3 linked regions of the Bombyx mori genome follow. The protein of the gene in region 1 purifies or fractionates together with the protein of each later gene. This does not show direct contact. Links are inferred from orthologs where the notes say so. Each region holds a gene or a part of one and is shown in the gene's direction. Other genes may lie near its edges.

What was found. The genes of interacting proteins can lie anywhere in the genome.
Region 2: the proteins of SWI/SNF-related matrix-associated actin-dependent regulator of chromatin subfamily B member 1-A (region 1) and paired amphipathic helix protein Sin3a purify together in Homo sapiens (affinity purification with western blotting; 3 studies listed by BioGRID, with this or other methods). This does not show direct contact. The link is inferred for Bombyx mori from reciprocal best matches to the Homo sapiens genes SMARCB1 and SIN3A.
Region 3: the proteins of SWI/SNF-related matrix-associated actin-dependent regulator of chromatin subfamily B member 1-A (region 1) and histone deacetylase complex subunit SAP18 fractionate together in Homo sapiens (co-fractionation; 3 studies listed by BioGRID, with this or other methods). This does not show direct contact. The link is inferred for Bombyx mori from reciprocal best matches to the Homo sapiens genes SMARCB1 and SAP18.

The regions. Positions count from the first base shown.
Region 1 is NC_085122.1:12,048,995-12,055,475, reverse strand, and holds the start of SWI/SNF-related matrix-associated actin-dependent regulator of chromatin subfamily B member 1-A, read left to right. Parts: upstream 1-1,472; 5' UTR 1,473-1,647; coding exon 1,648-1,728; intron 1,729-2,796; coding exon 2,797-2,987; intron 2,988-3,442; coding exon 3,443-3,605; intron 3,606-3,896; coding exon 3,897-4,044; intron 4,045-4,761; coding exon 4,762-4,973; intron 4,974-6,481. Other genes in the region: putative tricarboxylate transport protein, mitochondrial, read right to left, coding at 1-122.
Region 2 is NC_085108.1:989,353-997,752, forward strand, and holds the start of paired amphipathic helix protein Sin3a, read left to right. Parts: upstream 1-3,321; 5' UTR 3,322-3,494; intron 3,495-4,581; exon of another isoform or gene 4,582-4,767; intron 4,768-8,400. Other genes in the region: protein seele, read right to left, coding at 2,173-2,240, 2,331-2,418. UniProt on the Homo sapiens protein: Acts as a transcriptional repressor. Corepressor for REST. Interacts with MXI1 to repress MYC responsive genes and antagonize MYC oncogenic activities. Also interacts with MXD1-MAX heterodimers to repress transcription by tethering SIN3A to DNA.
Region 3 is NC_085129.1:7,371,029-7,378,296, reverse strand, and holds histone deacetylase complex subunit SAP18, read left to right. Parts: upstream 1-3,395; 5' UTR 3,396-3,643; coding exon 3,644-3,718; intron 3,719-4,053; coding exon 4,054-4,458; 3' UTR 4,459-4,489; downstream 4,490-7,268. UniProt on the Homo sapiens protein: Component of the SIN3-repressing complex. Enhances the ability of SIN3-HDAC1-mediated transcriptional repression. When tethered to the promoter, it can direct the formation of a repressive complex to core histone proteins.

The DNA.
Region 1 (6,481 bases):
CCGCCGGCTACAACTCCCTTTAAGCCTACTGAACCCGAACCACCAGCCGCAGCCGCTGCACCTGTCTCCGACATCCACGGTCTGGAGAATGGGTTTTTGAATGTTCCTTGCCGTGAAGACATGGTCTCTTTTTTCGAGCACTTTTGAAATTCGCAACGACTGCGACGACACTCCCCTACGACATTTAATTTCAGACTAAAAATTTAGGTTATATTAGTTATATACAATCATACTCTATGCTAACAATATGTGTTTGTGTATAGTCTATGAACTAAATTACTTTTTGGCGGGAACGCGAGGAGTGAAGTTGTGTGATTTGTTTTATTTTGTCTATTTAGTGTTTCTTCAGGTTTAAATGTGTAATAACGGTGGTTTATTAACTGTTTAATATCTGTGAAAGTGCACAAATGTGGGAAAATGAAACAAAGCTGCTGGACGTAACTTCTCGGGTTCCTCCAAAAAGTCCACTGAAAAAATCTCAGTAAATGACCACCATTTTACTGCGATTATATTTCATCCCATATCATCTCATTTCATTAAATTCATCCCAGTTGATTAATGTCTCAAATTAATCATCTTCATTTCATTTCACTCCATATTATCATTTTTCATAAAATTAAGACTATAAAGTAAAATAAGACATGACTTAAAGGTCTTAGTTACCAGGTCATAAAATCTCTTAAAAAAAAAAAAATCAATTAAAATAGGACTTTTTGGCGGGAACGCGAGGAGTGAAGTTGTGTGATTTGTTTTATTTTGTCTATTTAGTGTTTCTTCAGGTTTAAATGTGTAATAACGGTGGTTTATTAACTGTTTAATATCTGTGAAAGTGCACAAATGTGGGAAAATGAAACAAAGCTGCTGGACGTAACTTCTCGGGTCCCTCCAAAAAGTCCATTGAAAAAATCTCAGTAAATGACCACCATTTTACTACGATTGTATTTCATCCCATATCATCTCATTTCATTAAATTTCATCCCAGTTGATTAATGTCTCAAATTAATCATCTTCATTTCATTTCACTCCATATTATCATTTTTCATAAAATTAAGAATATAAAGTAAAATAAGACATGACTTAAAGGTCTTAGATACCAGGTCATAAAATCTCTTAAAAAAAATCAAATAAAATGTTTTTTTATTTTATGACTTGGTAGCCTAGACCTTTAAGTCATTATCTTATTTTAATCTTCTTATTCTAATTTATATCTTATTATAATTTATATTCTTATTTTTATGAAAACTGATAATATGGAGTGAAATGAAATGAAATGAAATGAAGATGTCAAGAATGTCTCAAATTAATTTAAATTAATATTTGAGACATATATTAAAGGGATCAACTGGGATGAAATTAAAGGAAATAAGATGAGACGGGATGAAATATAATCTCAGTAAAATGATGGTCATTCACTGAGATTTTTTCAGTGGACTTTTGGGTGAATCCCAAGAAGTTACGTCCAGTAGCTTTCCAAAATAATATATGACTTAAAGGTGTACGTTACCAGGTCATAAAATTAAAAAAATAATTGGATACATATATACATATTCACAGAAACGATTTATAAATTTTACCCTTACCAAATTAACATTACAATTCTTGAAGTAAATGTAATTATTTTATCAAAGGAACAACACAACTACAAAAATGGCCTTACGTACGTACGGCGATAAGCCGATAAGTTTTCAAATCGAAGAAGGAGGAGACTTTTATTGTGTTGGCTCAGAGGTAAGTTCCATACATTTCTTGATTAAAAATACATCGAACTACTCGAAACATAATTTTAAAGATACGTTATTAAAAATTATTTCATTCACTAACGGAGCTAGTCTTTCTTTTGTCGAAGAACATCGTTCCTAACCTCAATCTGGTCTATTATACAAACTTGCCTTTTAGAATTATTCTTATTTCGATGAGGCTTGGTTTCCATTACTGTAAAGCAGACTATAGTTTATTGTCCATCAAAGTATAAGATAAAAAATAGAACAATAGGTCTATATCACCCTTATGAAAATGGAATACAAATTTTGGAGATAAAATAACTAAGGAATTTCTGTAGAAGGCAAAACTGAGCTGTAATAATTATGTTGCCCTTTAATGACAATTCTTTAAAACTCATTTTCTTAGCAATAATCGAGTAAGTAATCCAGTAAACAGATCCATATTTAACAAAATCCCAAATACATATACATGTACAATAACATCATTAGCTAAGAAACCTAAGATTTTAGTTAAAGAGATACAAATCATGAAAGTTTACCAGTCCATTTTAACTACTGGCTTAAGATACCATACTGTACTTTTTATCTTTTTTCTGTATCTAGTTGCATAATTCAGTGTTCATGTGAAGTTTCTCACTATAATCTTCTATTCTACAGTAGAACTTTCTAAAGCGCCATTATGAATTATATTGAATAAGTAAACGACAGTGATTGCTTGCAGTGCAAATTAAAACAAGTTGTGGCACCCAATGCTGTTTCTGCTCTTATTTTTTTAGATGAGCAATGATGTATTTTCTTCAGTGTTTCTGAATTGTATAAAAAAAGGTCTAATTTCATATTTATTATATTCATTTCATTATCATTTTTCATGGCATATTAACACTGTTCTAACTACTGTAAATTGTTATGACAAAAAATTTAAATGATTAAACAATAACAGTGGTTTTAATTAAAAGCAATGCAAAATTATATTGTGGTGTCGAAAACAGCAGTTTTAACTTGAGATTTCCAGATTTTGTATTTTGATTAGTCTTATGCCCGCTTAAAAATGCAAAAAAATTAACTATTGCCTTAGGTCGGGAATTACCTGCGCTTGTTCCGTGGGTCACTCTACAAGAAGTACCCTGGCATGTGCCGGCGTACCCTCACCAATGAAGAACGTAAGCGATTAATTGACAACGGTCTTGGTCCTCATGTGCTGTCCAGTTCAGTTTCACTGTTGAAGGCGTCAGAAGTTGAAGACATTATTGAAGGGAATGATGATAAGTACGTCATTATAAACATTTTGTGAACTATTGAAAGCGGTTAAAACCGACAATTGCTGTGTTAGCATAGACAGGTGAACGAGTTCATAATCCATCTGATGATAAGTGAAGCTACCTGAAGTAGTCAGTCGAAATATTAGACCTTTAAGTTTTGGTGAGCACCTGGCACTATTGAAGTCCACGAACGACATTAACCACTTACCATCAGAAGAATTGTATGTTTGTCTTATTTTAAGGACAATAAAAAAAAAAACAAAATGTGTGCATATCTTTCTTCTTCATCGCTCCCTCATTGCTGAGGATTGTGACTCTGTTTCAGCTGTGCCAGTCTCCATCGGTTCTGGTCAGTTGCTGTGTGCATATCAAGGAAATCTTAAATACTATGAATTGTATATGAAACAGCAGTTGTCCATTAAACTATTTACAGCTATGACACAGCTTTAAATTAATTTATAGATACAAAGCAGTGTCCGTCAGCCAAGAGTTGGCGACACCCCGTGAGAGCAAAAGCAAGAAGCCACACACTCCATCATGGCTGCCAGTCATGCCAAACTCTTCTCATTTGGATGCTGTACCCCAGGCTACTCCAATCAGCAGGAGTAGGGTGCATAATAAGAAGGTAAAATGGATGTTAAAGTCAAAACTTAAAGTCCAGTTGGGCTTCAGGTTCTGACTCCTAGGTTTATCTAGTTAATCATGTTTGACATGGGGCCACACTCTAAGGTCAACACAACACATTTAATTTAGCTTCTGATTCAGGATAGATAGATAAGATAGATAGAATATCTCAAAATCAGAGACACATCGTAAGATAAATAACAGATTTTGAAATGGAACATTGGAATTAATGTAATATACTATAGTTCTAAAGTATCATTATTAAAACTAGCATAAAATGAATACTTTTCAGGTGAGAACATTCCCACTGTGTTTCGATGACACAGACATGACTGCAATGCTGGAGAATGCTTCGCAAAAGCAGGTGCTTGTACCGATTCGATTGGACATGGAGATTGAGGGTCAAAAACTCAGGGATACATTTACATGGAATAAAAATGGTATGTTTAACTGCATTTGTTACCAATTCTGGTTGTTTATTCTCAATTTTTGATTTCAGAAAGTATTTGAATAATAGAATGTGTAATTGCTGTCTACCAAATTATAAATAGATTGGCTGTATTTACTGTGAATTGTATCGACTGTCAATTGAAAATATATAATAACATTTTCTTATATCTTTAACTATAACTATTCTTTATAAAGTTCTTTAATCATGCTTAATGAAAATTGTTGGTCTGCAGTAAGTGTTGAAGATCAGGAGGACCTTGTCCAACTGTCTTGGATCACAGAACAGTTCCAATGCGCCCTGCAAATTTGGTTAAAATATTTTTAATGTTTTATCGTTTTCATTCTATATTGTTCTTTTAGCACAACCCTTACATAAATTTAGGAATACGCTCCTTAATTTTTATATCCATAATGTGTATGTTCCCACTTTTTTTTCCTGCCTAAGCTGATAGCCTTGAGAGGCTATATCAGCGTTGCCTTAACTAGTAGGTGAGCTCACGGGGCTCAAACGTGATGACGTTGTTAACACGAACGCTAGCAAGAGCCGTGTGCTTCGCAGAATCTACCACCAGATCGGAAACGCGACCCACTGAGAAGATCCGGCGAGAAACTCAGTGGGCTGTGTCTGAGGCTTTTTCTCACAAGGATTGCAGGCAGCCTATTAACAAGTTTTTGAATAAATAAAAAATTGGAGGATTGTTTTCCAGAATCAATAATAACACCAGAACAGTTTGCCGAGGTGCTGTGCGATGATTTAGAGTTGAACACGAGCACCTTCATACCTGCTGTGGCCTCCTCGATCCGGCAACAGATCGATGCCTTCCCGAGCGAGCCTCCCCCCATACTGGAGGAGCATACCGACCAGAGGGTCCTCGTCAAACTCAATATACACGTTGGAAACACTTCGTTGGTAGATCAGGTAGGTTCAAGTTACAAAGAAAACTCAAATAATTAATATAGAAGATGTAATTGACATGTGTAATAAGTAGAGGTCGGAGTAGGTAGATTGATTTAAGGTCGTTGACGTCAAACGTAGAAGATAATATGGATACGCCTCCAAAATACCGGAACTTCATATTTATTGTGATATTTGTTCCGGAATTTTGAAATTAGCTGGAATCTGTGTTTGAGGTGAAAAACGCGTTAATAATATTAATCTACGCTACCAGTTGTGGCGGGTAGCCATCATACAACGCAAGATAATTGACAGATGCCTGAATCTCGCTTACGACATTTTCAAGATAAAGCGCATATATACAAGTTCCGAACAACAACATTTGGACCGTCGGTCTACCGAGCAATATCATCTGCTCGGTGGAAGATCTTCCCTTTGTCGTATATATCCCTACACAGTCTTAGCTAATGGTGAAAGAAATCTGTATTTTATTTTATACAAAAACACCTTGGAATATATTTTGTCCCTTTCTGTTGACTTAGAAATGACGCTTGTCAGTATGAGACAAAATTTAGACAGGGCTTTTTGTTACTTTATCTCATAAATAAAGAAATTGTATCCGATGAGGCTTAAAAATGTTTTTTTTTCCATTAAAAAAAAAACCATTATGGATAAAATGACATGTCCATATTGTAATATCTTGACACAAGTATATAAAATCAATCTACCTACTCCAACCACTGGTAATGAGTGTGAATGTTTACTCACAACACAATAAATCATTGCTCACATGGAAAAGCGAATGAGAATTTGACATTTGAATATTTTTAGTAATTTTAAAATTTAAAGTTATTTTTTATTGCACAAATGGTTGGACGAGCTCATAGTTCACCTGGTGTTAAGTGGTTACTGAAGCCCATAAACATCTACAACGTAGATGTCGCCACCCACCTTGAGATATGAGTTCTAAGGCCACAGTATAGTCACAACGACTATCCCACTTTTCAAACCGAAACGCATTATTGCTTCACGGCAGAAATAGGCGGGGTGGTGGTACCTAACCGCGCGGAATCAAAAGGTTTTACCGTCACTAAATATTATACAAAAATTATTATTCAATATAATAAAGGGACTAGCGGACTCGACAGACGTCCTGCAAAATTCATTCAAGTCGATCCAGCCGTTTAGTTGTAGTATAGATAAATAACCTAGATACCGCCTGTAGCGCCATCTGCCGGGCTGATTTGTGAATCTAAACCATCCAGGGTGCCACCCAAACGCATACAAAAAAAACATTCAAATCGGTCCAGCCGTTTAGGAGGAGCTCAGTGACATACACACGCATAGAAGAAATCTATAAGTCTATACTAATATATAAATCTACAGTGGTTTTTACGGATGTTCCGTTATAACTACTGAACCATACATCCGATTGACTTGAAACTTGGTATCCATGTAGAAAATACATGTACTTAATGGATAGGCTAATATTTATATGAGTGTTGGACTCCCTACACCAGTTGGGGGCGTTA
Region 2 (8,400 bases), on another chromosome or scaffold:
AGTGCCAGTGGGCTCCATTCACTATTGATAGCCACTGCAGAGCACCCAAACGCAGGGATCTGGTACTTTCCACAATGCAAGACAAAAGACGATATTTGAAACTACCATGTTCACAACAAAATCATATTTAAGTTATTAAGTAACATTTGGTTTATCTCAAGATATAGGTTCACTTATCTGCGACGAAGGCACACGTAACGTTATGTTATCACCGATTTTATGGTAGCATTAACGTAACCTTGCGATACACATGTGGCGATTACAATTTTTCTTTTAGTACCCTTATGAATTGCATGAACAAAAAACCTTGTCATTTCGTCCAATACTATCCGGCTGTTAGTGGTTTTAGTCATACAAAATTTATCGTCGCTCCTAACTGGAGGAGGGTTGCTAAAGATACGACAACAATGGAAGATGCTATAGGAGGCCTTTACCAATAGACACACTGAACTGAGAGACATTCTCTAAAATATACAAAAATTAAATCAACAGTCCTAAAAGCTCAGGATAAAGGGCTCATTAACTGATTTACAAGATGCAGGGTGAGAAGGAATCCCCAGTTGGGAAGGCAAAAAGGCTTGACGGTGGCCTAAATACAATTTTGACAAATAAGGTTAAAGAAATCTGTTAGCACACTTCACACAGCAATGAACAAAAAGCTAGGAGCTGGATGAGGTGGCTCAAGGCGTGCCTTACGTGCAAGGCGTGATTTAGTGCCGCAGGTGGGCTCCCATGCCATTTTTTGAATAGCAATGCTTTACTCTATTAAGGCACACTGTTAAGGTGGTACCGGTCCTTGCAGTTTTACAATATACTCTATCTACAGTAAAAACATTCCTTAGAGGATGGATGGAGAGGATAACTTCTTAGAGGATGATGTAGTTGCAAGGCATCGACCCCAAACTAAATGTGTTGATGAAGAGCATTTCGATATTTTTGAAAATCCTAATGATGATATCAGCATGTGTGATATTTAACATGTGTGTTTATTGATATTTTGAGTTACACTTCTTCTTTTTTTCCTATTACACTGCTGGGGTGTAGAACTCTAATCAAATCCTTCCCTTTACATCGGTCTTGGGCAGTCTGTTCTAGCTCCTCCCACGTCATGCCCAAGACGGTTAGCTCCTGCTCCACCAAGCGACACCCAAGTTTTTCTGGGACGGCCTCTCTTCCTTTTGCCAGACACTTTCCACATCAGTGCTCTATTGGATAGGTGGGTATTGGGCTTTCTCTATATGTGGGTATTCAGTATTCAGTTGGTATGGGTTGGTATGAGTACAAAGATGAGGTACGATATGCCTGAATTGGAAAAGAGGATATGCTGCCACAATACTATTTAATCAGGTAAGAGCAAAAAGAAGAAAACAGGAAACACAACAGGCACAGCATAAGTTACTACCGCATATCCCACACAGGCATGTTGGATATATGTTTTTATCAGTATTAAAATTAAAATCACCTCAGTAGCAAAAGTATGGTATAGTCAGCTGCTATGTACTTGACGAATGTGTTAGTCAATATTCTAAATATGTTTGCTTGTCTTGAATCAAAAACGGTTGAAGTTTTGAGTAAAATTGAACACATAGATAACATTACCTACATTAATATGTAGGACAATGTGGGAAATGACATGATCCAGTTAAGGCTCAATATATCTTCTAAATAAATATTACAGTATATTCTCTTGTGGTTCGTGTTTTAAGCCAACTGGTTGTTTATGGAACAGAGAGTGACACAAGTAACTCTTTATCCAAGGAAAATGCTATGTAGTTTATTATTTCTGGATTACAATGTGAATATTTGGAAAAATAAAGCTCATAATTATTCATTATACTTCATTTTGAAACCACACTTTGTACTGGAGAAAGTTATGACTATTTTAGTGTGACTGTCAACATTTACTTGAAATATAGTTATAGTGAAATATAGTAGAAACAAGTTATAATTAAATTATTTTTTTCGTAATAATTTTAACTGTCGTGCTTAAGTTTTTCTCATATTTTAGATGCTAAAGGAAAGATTCATGTTAAATTTGTATAAGATTATTTGAAAACATACAAGCAAAAATTTTTAAATGTTTAACAAATTAAATCAATCTTGAAAAATGTAAAAGAAAAGTTTTAGATGCAGATTTTTTATATTTTTATTTTAAAGTTTAAAATTACTCACATCGACTCTTTTCCATTTATCTATGCTTTTTATCACCTGGTGAAGCTCCTCAAACGTCGTCCGACAAACTAGAAAAATTATATAATTTATATCAAATAAATATTAAATTATCATATTAACAAAATAATTAAAAAAAACAGAAAACACGTAGTACACACCCAAACATTTTAAGTTTTTAGGGTCGATTCTTGCTGAAACAACACTGAATAAAATCACAAATGCAAAAATTAAACTATTCAATCTCATTTTTGTATTAAAAGTTCTTGAATTCTTCTTTAAATTGCGACGAATTAACGATAAATGCGATGAAAATTACAGACGTGTGTTAAAATTAATCTTTTTTTTGACAATTACACGATCTTTAATATTATTGGCCAGTAGAAAAAAATCAGACCGTCCGTATTGGTCGATGAAACTATTAAGCAATCAATTACAAATGAAACATTTTCGGTATTGTTGGCCTATGGAAAAGGACTATCATATTTTACTGCATTATCTTCTAATTTTTCCTTATTGAACTTAATTTGTCTTCAACATTGATTGAAGAAAACAATCAACGATGACAATATATTTGGTGATAAAGGTGTCAATCTACAGTTTTCGTAAAAATATTAATTTCCTAACATTAAAGCATACAGAATAGCTGCTTAACGTTGCGTCAATATTTTGAAGACTATACATAGTTTATTACATTTTGTAGATATTAGTAGGTATAAAGTATAGGTATGTAATCGTTCTACGGCAATATACTTAAAAAAATGGCAATTAAAAATTTGCCTATCGATTACCTACTACATAAAATATATCATTCATACACAATATGTGTTTATATAAGTACTCAATATATATTATTGTAGACGTATATTTACAAAACTATCGCTTTGCACAGGTCCGCGTGGGTGCAACAACCTGCACTAATGATTTTTTCAAAAACTTATATACCTACAATAGAACTCTTCAGACAATGACATAATTTAAATGGTACAACAGAATTGGTTGATTTTGTGTACGTTTTTTTTCATTAGTAATAACGCGTTTACGTTTCTGAGTTCTCGATCGTCCGTTCTCCGGTTTTGCGTCCTCCCCGCGGCCCTCTGTCCTAGCCCCGGGCGTCAGCCGCCAACCCAAACCAACAAAAACCAACAGTTCGCATTCGGTCTCTGTCGACGTAGGACGTTTGCTCAACGTAATGTTAAATTATTCTATGCATTTGAAATTCTTTAAAATCTTAAAGATACCTTAAAAACGTTTGCTATTACGTCGAGAAGTGACGTTCCTGTGATTTATTCGTAGAAAACCGAGAAATTCGAGCATCCAAAGAGGTGAGTGACTGGTTGTCAGATTGCGTCTGCCATTCAAAGCTAATTGTCTATACCATTTATCTATTTTGTTTTGCTTTATATCTCACCTTTTATAGAAATATACCTACAAAGCACCCTTTGCAGACTAGTTATACGCATTGGCCCACACCTGTTCAGATACCATACGTTAACCTTTTGCCGCACGCATAATTAGACCAATGTAACTTCTATTTATGTAACGTTGCAAAGAATTCTTCTTATCACTTGAACGTGTTATGTGCAGTTAGAAAATCTCAATTTCATAATGGTAAATGGCGCGCTGGCCAGTTTCAGACGACCTGGCAACATCAAGCGCGCTAACTATAACAGAAATAAATATCTAGATGTTCTTGTTATTATCATGTAACCGGCATTTCCCTTTGTTTTCCGTGTGAAATCCTCCTTTGTCCTTCGGTAGGGAGCGCTCGATGCGCGAACGTAAAGGAATTTCGACTCTAGAAAAGCGCCATAATACATTGATGATATTGATATACATTATTAGGTTGGGCCATTCGCTCGCGTCGTCGTTCTTACAGCGCCTGTGTTTGTGCGTATCTACGTGGAGGACGTCAGTGTGTTCGTGGTGTAGTTTGTTTATACAGATAGCTACGGAATTCTCGTCTTTATCCCGTTGGCACGTAACATGAAAGTCGAGCGCAGGTCGGCGTCCTCGTCGCTGTTTGTCTATCGATCTCTGCGGTGGCCAATGGCACATGTCGGTACGGTCGTGCGCGGCCGCGCCTCGGTGAAAGCCGGCCGTTCGCTCGACATTTTACAATTTATGTATAAATTCTACATTAAATCAGCTTTTCAACACTATACCTAATATCTTATCGTTTCATGAATTGTTACGTTACATGCATTGCAGTCACCACCCTTCCCTCTCCATATACAGAAAACCACATGATCTACATTATGTTTTCAAATAAGAAAAATACGCGGGACTGTATGATGATAACATTATAAGATAGATAGTGTTTTGTGGAGCCTTGCTTGGAGCTCGAGCGTCACGGCGCTGCGGGGTGGGGGAGGGGAGGGAGGGCCTGAAATAGAAGCGCGGCTTGGAGCGTGCGACGTGGCAACGTCGCCTCTGCGACCGAGCTCAGTGTCGGTTCAAAATGGCGTCTGTGCGTGATCAATACTGTGATATTTGCGTTAAAAATGTGGTGTGTGTGGTCGCAGGACGGCATAAATGCTACCCTGGATCCTCAGGGTGTGCACCCCACACCCAGCCCGGGCTGTCACCCAGCTCACAGTACGTATTACAAACATATTGCGCCGACACTCATCGCTTCATGTATCTAGGTATGACTACCCATATGATTCGTATGGGCAGAGCGACTGTACTACAATCATGCAGTATATTGATAATACATACACAGCGCAAGCCTTAAAGAAGTTCCTAAATATTTTATTATATTACGGTTATAAATGCCTAGACAAGCAAAAAATGTGTCATCACAACGAAACGAATTGCACCATGATGAGGCATGATGTTGATTACGTAATCCCAGAATAATTTATATTGGACCATGTGCTCGTATTGGAAAGGAAGGTTTGAAAGTAGCAAATTGAGAACTTTATAGTGTTTCTTATAATCTTTTAAATTTGGATTACACAGGTTTAAATATAAAACAAAATGGCGGCATACGTGTCCGTATTTAAGGCGTAGTAGATTAAAGTTGGCAACGTCGCATTTCGCGCGCGCCCTCGCGGTGATTGTTAGTAGGCATGTTGATTCGATAAGAAGTTCCAAGGCTAACAGTTTTCGTATTTCCAATGTTTACAACAATGGATAACTTGAATGCGTGATAATAAACGAATAAGTATGTATTCTTGACGTTAAGAATAATTTATTTAATATCAGTAAAACATCGTCCTACGTATAATAAACACGTTAAAAGGTCAAATACTAGTGAGTATAAGTGAGTAAGTAGAGCAAGAGTATAAGTACTAAGTAGAGTATGAGTATACAAACTAAGATGATTCACTATTTATTAGTTTGTGATGGACTGCTTTTGTTCTTAACTGAGAGACTCTTAACATTCTTAATTTTGACCATAACCTGAACAATATAATATGCTTCTTCAATAAATTAGTTTCTTAATTGTAATCACTTAATTTACAAATGTGTTTCGGAATAAAAACTTAAGGATGAACCTTAAAAATTAAGGAAATCTTTTAACGTTACTGGTTTAGGTTTATCAAATGAAATAAATTAAATCCCTGTGATAGTTATTATCTTAGGCTGTTCACCCAATACCTTTGCCTTTAAAGTTAAGTTTAGGCAGTTAAATAAAAATAAAAAAACTTCATAACAAACATTTGCTTACGCACCGCTTAAATTAAACTACATAGTTATGGATTTCAATCGAAAAACAGACTACACAGTGGCTACCAGTAAATCGTTAAAGAGACTATATTCGATTTTTTGAATCGACATTCGTTATTACGATGTACTTAGAAGTCTGTCACCACTTCGATAAAGAGGCACGACACGAGAACCCTCTTATTGTGGCCGCCGGTAACTACATTCCCGATCCTGCGGAAAGAATGAAAAGCAGTCGACGTCACCCCAAACACGTCAATTTCGGATCCTCCCAATCCACTAACGGTGCTTTTAGGTACCTCAAGCACCGGTCACCGTTCTCGTTGAACCCAGCGCTTGCAACGAAGGGCTCGTCGAGTAAATTAACCCTTAGACACAGCCTACTGAGTTTCTCGCCGGTTTTTTTTCAGTGGGTCGCGTTTCCGATCCGGTGGTAGATTCTGCGAAGGACGGCTCTTGCTAGGGTTCGTGTTAGCAACGTCGTCAGGTTTGAGCCCCGCGAGCTCACCTACTAGTTAAGGTTACGCTGAAATAGCCTCTCAAAGCTATCAGCTTAGGTAGGAAAAAAAAGTCTGTCACAAAAAACAATAAAAAAATACAAATATCTAGTCAAGATTCACTAAGAATTAGGTGGTTGGCTGATCTCATCTTCGTAATAACCAAAAGGTTTAGTGTGGGACATAATATGGAAAGAGCATTGGAGATACAATTCAAATAGGTTTTTTTTTGTCCTACCTACTCTGGTAACATAGGGGCTTATGCCAGCATAACCGGGGAAATAACAACAGATCGTGTACCTACTATGTACTGGTTTGTGCAGCGAAATGTAAATGCGTCGTTGCCATATTAAAAAAAATAGTTCGCGCGGTCTTGCATGAAATCACGTTAATAACTTCCTTATTTCCAAACATAATTTTTGTTTTCATCAGTTTTAGGTGTAAAAAGATTGTTGTGTTTTTAGTCTCGTTACAAGCTTGAAGTATTGCGAAATTGTTATTTAATATGACCCTTTTCTTCGATGTTTTCTCCACAATTGTTCTTTATAACATAGCACTGGTTTTTTTCGACAATTAATGCACAAATAGGGAGATATCCTTCAAGCGGGCTGATGAAACAGGCCCGGTTGCGTTACCACTCAATTCACGTATGTATTTTGATATTTGAGGTCATCAGCGCAAAAGTGGCCTAACCCACATTTTTTTTACATTCAAGCATATATGACGTATATTGGAGTTTATTTAAAATATAATAAATTTTTATGCAAGACCGGCCTATCCATAGTTTCGTCCATAGATAACAGATAGCTTTGTAAACATTATTTTTGCGCGGATTGTTTTCTTGCTTACTCAAATTTAAATTCATGAAAATTCAAACCTAATTGCCTCCATACTAACTATGATAAGCTTAGGTCACTTTTGCGCTGACGGCCTCATTTCTACCTTACTTAAATGCACCGATCTGGTCCGCTGTGCTGGTCGACCTATGTTCAGACTGAATCAAACAAGCCAAACTTCAGAGGAACTTCCGCTAGACCAGTGGTCGGCAACCTGCGGCTTTTCCGCGATATTTCAAACACGAAATATTACTTATTATCTTTCCTCGTAAGAGACCGGTACACATTTTTCAAACACAAGGCTATAAAAGCGTAAGTTAAAAATAAGGCTTTGAATAAATGTTCAATTGTGCATTATCTATATTTGTCTCTTATAGTTGACAAGGTCGCCCACAACTGGCCTAGATCGATCTGAAAATTTCATCAGCCGTTACGGAATCTATGAGGAATATACACCGATTTATATATATCTATACTAATATATAAATGTGCTATACTAATATATAAATCTATACTAGTATATAAATGTGCGCTAAAGTGGTTTTTACCGATAATCCGTTATAAATAATGAACCATGCATCCGATTGACTTGAAACTTGGTATCCATGTAGAAAATACATGTACTTCATGGATAGGCTAATATTTATGAGTGGTGGACTCCCTACATCAGTTGTGGGGATGAGAAATAATAAAGTTAATTTTAAATGGCCAGCGAAACGGACGGTGCTGCTAGTTTTTAAATAAAGATAACGAAGAAAATGTCCGTGTGACATTTCGACTTCACAGCATGTTGTTTTTATTTATTTATTTATACAGCAGGAATAGATTTGTTTTTCTGTTACGCATTTCACGTTTCGATGAGTTTAATACTCTTTATCACTCATTGTTATGACGTGAATGACGATGGATGATGTCAGCTTTGGCTGAGAAATTGCGACTCTGACATCTGCGTACCTCGTATGCAGTTCAATTACATACTATTCAATTAACCTATTTACTGGTGGTAGGACCTCTTGTGAGTCCGCACGGATAGGTACCACCACCCTGCCTATTTCTGCCGTGAAGCAGTAATGCGTTTCGGTTTGAAGGGTGGGGCAGCCGTTGTAACTATACTGAGACCTTAGAAATTATATCTCAAGGTGGATGGCGCATTTACGTTGTAGATGTCTATGGACTCCAGTAACCACTTAACACCAGGTGGGCTGTGAGCTCGTCCACCCATCTAA
Region 3 (7,268 bases), on another chromosome or scaffold:
GGGCTTACTGGTGGCCCGAAGGCCATTCCAGTTTCACAAGGACAGGTAGAAGCCATGTCAAGAGGCTATTCTCGGCTTCTTATATTTCTCTCTTTCTCGAATTTGTTCTCAAAGTCACAATATTCATCGGTGTCCAAAATAAAGCAAAATTAACATAGCTTCGCTCCTTGCATTCTCTGCCAAAATAATAGGACATTATGATCTTATTGACAACCTAAAGACACTGCTAATATAAAATGACGGTAGTCTACTAGTTTATGTGTATTATTATCTATAGGTAGTTTTGAACACTTTTATGACTTATTTATTAATGCGGTGTACAATAATCGAAACATGTTATCAGAGATATTGTACTTCAGTAACGGAAACATTAGCTATACAATTAATAAAATAGTGATAGAAATTACTAGCCGTTAGCCGCGGTTTCGTCCACGTGGCTGTGAAACAATGTCAGTGTAGTTTATGAGGACAATGACATCCTTTTTAGAATAAAAGGTAGCTTAGTATCTGTGAAAGTGCACAAGTATGAAAAATGAAACAAGTCCAAAAAGTCATAGTATATAACCACCATTTTACTGAATCTCTCTACAAAACTTGCATATGCCCCGCCATGACGTATGCAAGTGTAGTGTTCGCTCACGCGGCCCGCACCAACTTCAAATCCCTTCAGGTTATTCAATCCCGTTTTGCAGGATAGCCGTCGGAGCACCATGGTAAGGAACGTGGATCTCCATTATGACCTGGAGCTCGACTTAGTCAGTAAATATCTAGAGTCGGCATCATTGCGCCACTTTGAGAAGGCTGCATGACACGGGAACCCTCTTGTCGTGGCCGCTGGAAATTACATACCCGATCTTGTAGACTGAATGGTACCACAAGCATCGGTCATCGTCCTCGTCGAACCCGTCCCCTGCGACAAAGGGCTCGACGAGCGAATTAACCCACAGACACAGCCCACTGAGTTTCTCGTCGGATCTGCTCAGTAGGTCGCGCTTCCGATGCGGTAGTAGGTTCTGCGAAACACTGCTCTTGCTAGGGCCAGTGTTAGCAACACTCCGATTTGAGCCCCCTGAGCTCACCTACACGTTAGGGCGAAGCTGAAATAGGCTCTCACTCAAGGCTATCAGCATAAGTAGGAAAAAAAAAACTGAACCTTTTTTAGTAACATTTGGTTGTGTTCATAATCTTTCATCTCTCATCTCATGTCGTTTCAGTTAGTTTCACCTCAAATGATTACAATCTTTAATAAATCAACTTTATTTCTTTTGGCTCATATTATAATATATTCATTAACAGCAACCTATTCCTCGAAATGGTTTTTTGTATCAAAAAGAAAAAAATCATCGATACTCATTATAAAGTAATAGCTGATATGGAAATATTTTCTGAGTAGTTGGAAGTATTCGTGAACTTTACATAATATATTACGTACATATTTAATTAGAAAATGCAACCTCTCTGCAAGATTTGAATACTGACAATGAGATAGTCGATTAGTCACATCGTTCGATCCACGACGGGCGTCTTATCCTTTAAATCACGACGACTTCGAACATATGGCCTTAGTCTTCATGGTCATAAATTTCTAGTTATAACAACATGTCGTTTATTTTTATTAAATTTTTTGGTTTTTATGACCTGGTACTTCCAACCTTTAGGTCAAACATGTCATTTAAATAATGGTAATGAAATTTATATCTCAATATAACATTAATTGTTCTCTCGGTCATGTTTATAAAATTTGCTATCATAAGTTTGATATTTAATTTTGGATTGAACAAACTCGATGCTAGCAATAATGCATCCCAAGAAGTTCGCTTCTCGAGTCCGCTTCGAGTAGGTATAATGGCTTAGCTATAGATAATACAAATAATATAAGACCTTAAATTATGTGTATTATCTATGGCTAAGTCAACCAATTCATTTATAATGGACTTTTGGCGGGAACGCGAGGAGTGAAGTTGTGTGATTTGTTTTATTTTGTCTAGTTAGTGTTTCTTCAGATTTAAATGTGTAATAGCGGTGGTTTATTAACTGTTTAGTATCTGTGAAAGTGCACAAATTTGGGAAAATAAAACAAAGCCACTGAACGTAACTTCTCGGGATCTTCCAAAAAGTCCACTGAAAAAGTCTCAGTAAATGACCACCATTTTACTGAGATTATGCTTCATCCCATATCATCTCATCTCATGTCATTTCATTTCGTTTTCATTTCACTTTAGGTTTCATTATAATCAACTTCATTTTATTTCATAATATCATTTTCATTTAAAAAAGTTACGTATCATTAAAATTAAAATAATACTTGACCTAAAGGTCTTAGTTACCAGGTCATAAAAGCCCTTCAAAAAAAAAATCATTTATCATCAGAAATTGTTTAAAGGTACCGTAAAATGGGGCGATTAGGGACAAATTCCAACTTTATGATCAATTTTAAGGTAGTTGTTGATGTATATAATGCTATATCAGGATCAAAATGATTGAGTCTTGGGGGCATCTTTGTTGTCTAATTTAAAATTATGGAACTAGCATTCCAGTTTAAGCAAAAAATGCAAAAATAGGTGTAATCCCTATTTACCCGAAAATTGCGGTTAATTGGGACGAAATGAGAAATTTGCTAGGGTTGGCACTACTTTTATTTTTATATATAGTTTTAATTTATTTATTTATTTAGTTGCACCAACAAAGTGATCATCAATAAAAAAAATTGAAAAACTGACAAAAGTACATGGCAGACATCACCTCAATTATAGGTGCAATCGACAGTGCTGATATTTCTATCTGGGTTAAGAGATTAGGTGTGTCGGTTATTCCATGGATTAATCAGATGAATACCCCCACTCTGAACAAATATTAAATATTTTATTATGTATTACTTAGACATTTTTGTCCACCTTGAGATTTCATTGATCTTGTTACATGTCTCTCCAAAATTGACTTACTTATATTAAATTGCTTATCTATTTCAAATAAAGACTTATTCCCAATTTCGCTTCGAATAAACCAGATTTTTACCAACAAATTTAAAAAATATTGTTATAACTACATAGACAACCCTACAAACCTGTACCTATTTATACTTAGTTCGTTTCCATTTCACGTATTCTCATCCCAATTGACCCCTTTTTCGTTGTTATTTGTACCTAAGCCGTCCCCAATATCCCCAAAACAACAGATTTTTACATGTATTTTTATTTAATCAAATACATTAAAACCAATAACAACTGAGACTTACCTTTAATATATATGCTGGTTCAAACACTAAATAACGTTTATAAATCATAGTCGTTTTCTATTATTATCAAATAAATAAAAGAGAGCAAAGTTTCTAGCACTAAAATAATTACCACCACAGGAAGTTAATTTGAAACGCGATTTTTTATAAGTTAGCAGCTATTATCATGCATATTCAGAGTTGTTTTGTGAACTTTCAACATTCTACTATTAAACTACAAAAAATGGAAGATTTTGCAACGAATATAAAACTTATATTGAGCGTCGAAAGATTTTCCCAGTTTTTTCCCGATTCGCCTCTCAATCCCTAATCGCCCCATTTTACCGGTACATGTATTTAAAGACTCGCATAATTTAAATAATTACTTAAGTTGGAAAAATTAAGTAGGACCACAATTCTCCAAATATTATGAAAATGGCGGGATTAGAATCAATGGTAGTTGAAGAAATTAAACCGACAGAAAAACCGGTGGACAGAGAAAAGGTACTTTGTTAAACAATATAATTGATTATTTTTTACTATAAACAGCATTTACTTTAAATTAATGTTCGCCAACTGATTTTAATTTGACCATAATAATCAACAGAACATTCAAATCCGTTGTGTCTACTAAAGCACTCTGTTCTTTTTTGTTTCGTAATTGACATTTTTTCTTGTAAATGTGAGATATAAAGTAACAATCTATTTGTTTTCGATAACACTAAAGCTCGTTCATTAGGATTATAAATAAAACACAATAATTGAATTGACAGAGGAGGAAATTTGTTATGCTTTTTCCTGATTATATAGAGATATAAATTTAACCTAAAATGTTTCAGACCTGTCCTCTATTGCTCCGTGTGTTTTGTTCAACTGGCCGACATAATTCTCCTGGAGACTATGTTAGAGGAAACGTACCTCAGAATGAATTACAAATATATACATGGATGGATGCTACACTGCGAGAACTTACAGGACTTGTAAAAGAAGTTAATCCTGAGACGAGACGGAAAGGCACATACTTTGATTTTGCCATTGTGTATCCTGATATGCGTTCCCCTACATATCGTATGAGGGAAATAGGAGTTACATGTTCCGGACAGAGAGGAGGCGATGATAACAAGACACTTTCACAACTGAAATTTCAAATTGGGAACTATCTAGACATCTCAATAACACCCCCAAACAGAATGCCACCACCAATGAGGCGTCCACAACCATATATTAATAATCGTCAGTACTGATAATTAAGTTTAATAAAAGAATGTGTATCAACTGTGTTCTTTCACTTGATTTAAAGGGTGAAGTTGGATTTCATTAAATTACTATTATAAAGGGGAACACCCACTCTCCATAGTGTTCTGGGCCCAAGATGGACATCAAATATTACTATAAAAATGGACTGTTTCTTAAATATATTGGATATCTAAAAAATATATTGAAATTGACACCACTATTATAAAAATAAAATAAAATAAAAAAATCGTTTTGAGGTTTATTTTCTATATAAATAAGTGTTGGATTATGAGTTACTTCAAGAACTTTTCTTTTATTAATGTTTAATTTATTAATTATGATAAGGGAGATGTTCCTAATGTAATTTTATCCAATTGTAGTTATTAGGGTATAAAAAACACATGTTTTTCTAAATATCTATGTTTTCTTCATCTTCATACACAATTAATAAATCATCTAAAAATAGCGCAGGAGGGCATATCCACGGTTATGAGTCTCGTTCAGTTTAAAACCACAATTCACACTATGTCTTAGTCGTAGTATGAAACATTATTGATCGGTATCCATAATCGAATGTAGCTGTGATCTTTAACTCCTGAGCCAAAGTCGTCGTTGAAGGGAGGATAAAATCCATAAAACAAAGTCAGTAAAATAAATCGAGGAAAAATCAAAACGCATCCATTTTACGCACCATTTTTCCGTTGTGAGCACAAGCAGCAAGCGAAGTGTCAGTCAGTCAGGTTTTTATTTTAATTATTTTGAAGTCGTCGTGACCTAACGGATAAGACGTCCGGTGCATTCTTGTTGAGCGATGCACCGGTGTTCGAATCTCAGGCGCGTACCAATTTTTCTAATGAAATACATACTTAACAAATGTTCACGATTGACATCCATGGTGAAGGAATAACATGGTGTAATAAAAATCAAACCCGCAAAATTATAATTTGCGTAATTACTGGTGGTAGGACCTCTTGTGAGTCCGCGCGGGTAGGTACCACCACCCTGCCTATTTCTGCCGTGAATCAGTAATGCGTTTTGGTTTGAAGGCAGCCGTTGTAACTATACTTGAGACTTTAGAACTTATTTATTTATTTATTTTTATTTATTACACTTCATATAAAATTTACATTGGCGGACTTAATGCCTAAGGCATTCTCTACCAGTCAACCAAAGGTAGTGCAGAGTGAATAGTGGTAGGTGCAAACTTATATCTCAAGGTGGGTTTTTTTTCTGCTTAGATGGGTGGACGAGCTCACAGCCAACCTGGTGTTAAGTGGTTACTGGAGTCCACAGACATCTACAATGTAAATGCGCCACCTTGAAATATAAGTTATAAGGTCTCAAGTATTTAAGGTTACAAGTTGAAGTCTAATGGGTATGTCTTTGATGTTATTTTATGTGCTTATAATCGATTAAAATCCATTGATTAATGTTAATACTTAAAATGTTTTATTTATATTTTTTTTTATGCACTTAAAATGTTTACTTAATACGTAAAAGGTTTCAAACTGGCAATATTTTTCCCGCAAAAATCAAAAACTTGTTTTTTCAATAGAGTTACTTTTTTTAAATTATTTAATGTAAACTGCAGTGGCGCTCATTTGGAAGAAATTAAATGCATATTTATTTATGACAAAATTAATGCACTAAGTATTTTTTCTCTAATCTATTGTCCACCTTGGGCCTGAAATGGGCATTCCCCTTTGTGTTTGTAATTACAAAAACAAATTTATAATATCAGGTCCAAAAAAACCAAAGGTCTACTTCAAATACTGTTTTAACACTTATAATTTCCTTCCTGAGTTATGGATTTTTTTTTATCAATAGGCAATTATTCTCACAGCTGACCTGGTATATTAATAAAATTTAGAAGGTATATATATTAATTATTTTTTTGTTGTAGACATAAAACCTATTGCATGGCCAGTTATAAAAAAAAAGACAAAGAAAAAAAAGACTCGCCGACCGCACTGCGCGCATTGTGCACGGACCCGCCGTATTTTCATCTTATTATTTTTTTGGAATTTCACTATGTACTTTTCTCTTATGAACTGCTACGGGCGATCATCCTCGTCATTGTCCGAGTGTTACACCGGCTTAGCGAACACAAATAAATTAGAGGAGAGCTGTCAAGCCGTTAGGCCGAGCGCCGCCAATACGCGTCGGCCACCAGTCACGTTTCTTGGATTCTGCAGCCTGCAAGAAGCCAGCGACGGGCTGTTAGGTACGTCTACTTCTCATTACCTAGCCTCGGCCTGCCCTTCTTTTTGATCACCTGTTGGCGATACTCGCGCCCGCAAGAACCTTCATAAATATAGAACCAGAGCATCGCTGTGGTGAACATTTTTAAAAGATTTAGTTTTTTCCCCACTACAAAAGTTCAACTATCATATCGAGCGGTGAAAGGCTATCTGATATAAGCGAGATTTCGTTTAATACGCGACATTTATCATGGAACTTTAATTAAGTTGACCCCAATCAATTAGCTGAAGTTTTTTTTAAAAACAAATGGCATTTCACCCCTCCATCTGACGTCAGGTATGTATGATGAAAGCTTTTTCTCACATTTTAATTAGCATGTAGTACATGCAGCACAATTTTTTTAAATAAAAAACATGCATGTACTCAAGTTCAGAAACAATTTCCTTTATTTCTTTTTGCTGAATATAATAATCCATGAATAAAACAAATTATCACTTTAATAATTTTATTTTGATTGCACCTAATTTGTTGGTTTATAAACCTTAACAGATTCCTTGTTTATAAACAACAAATTGAGTTAATGTCGACACAATTTAATGACAATTAAAATGTACCT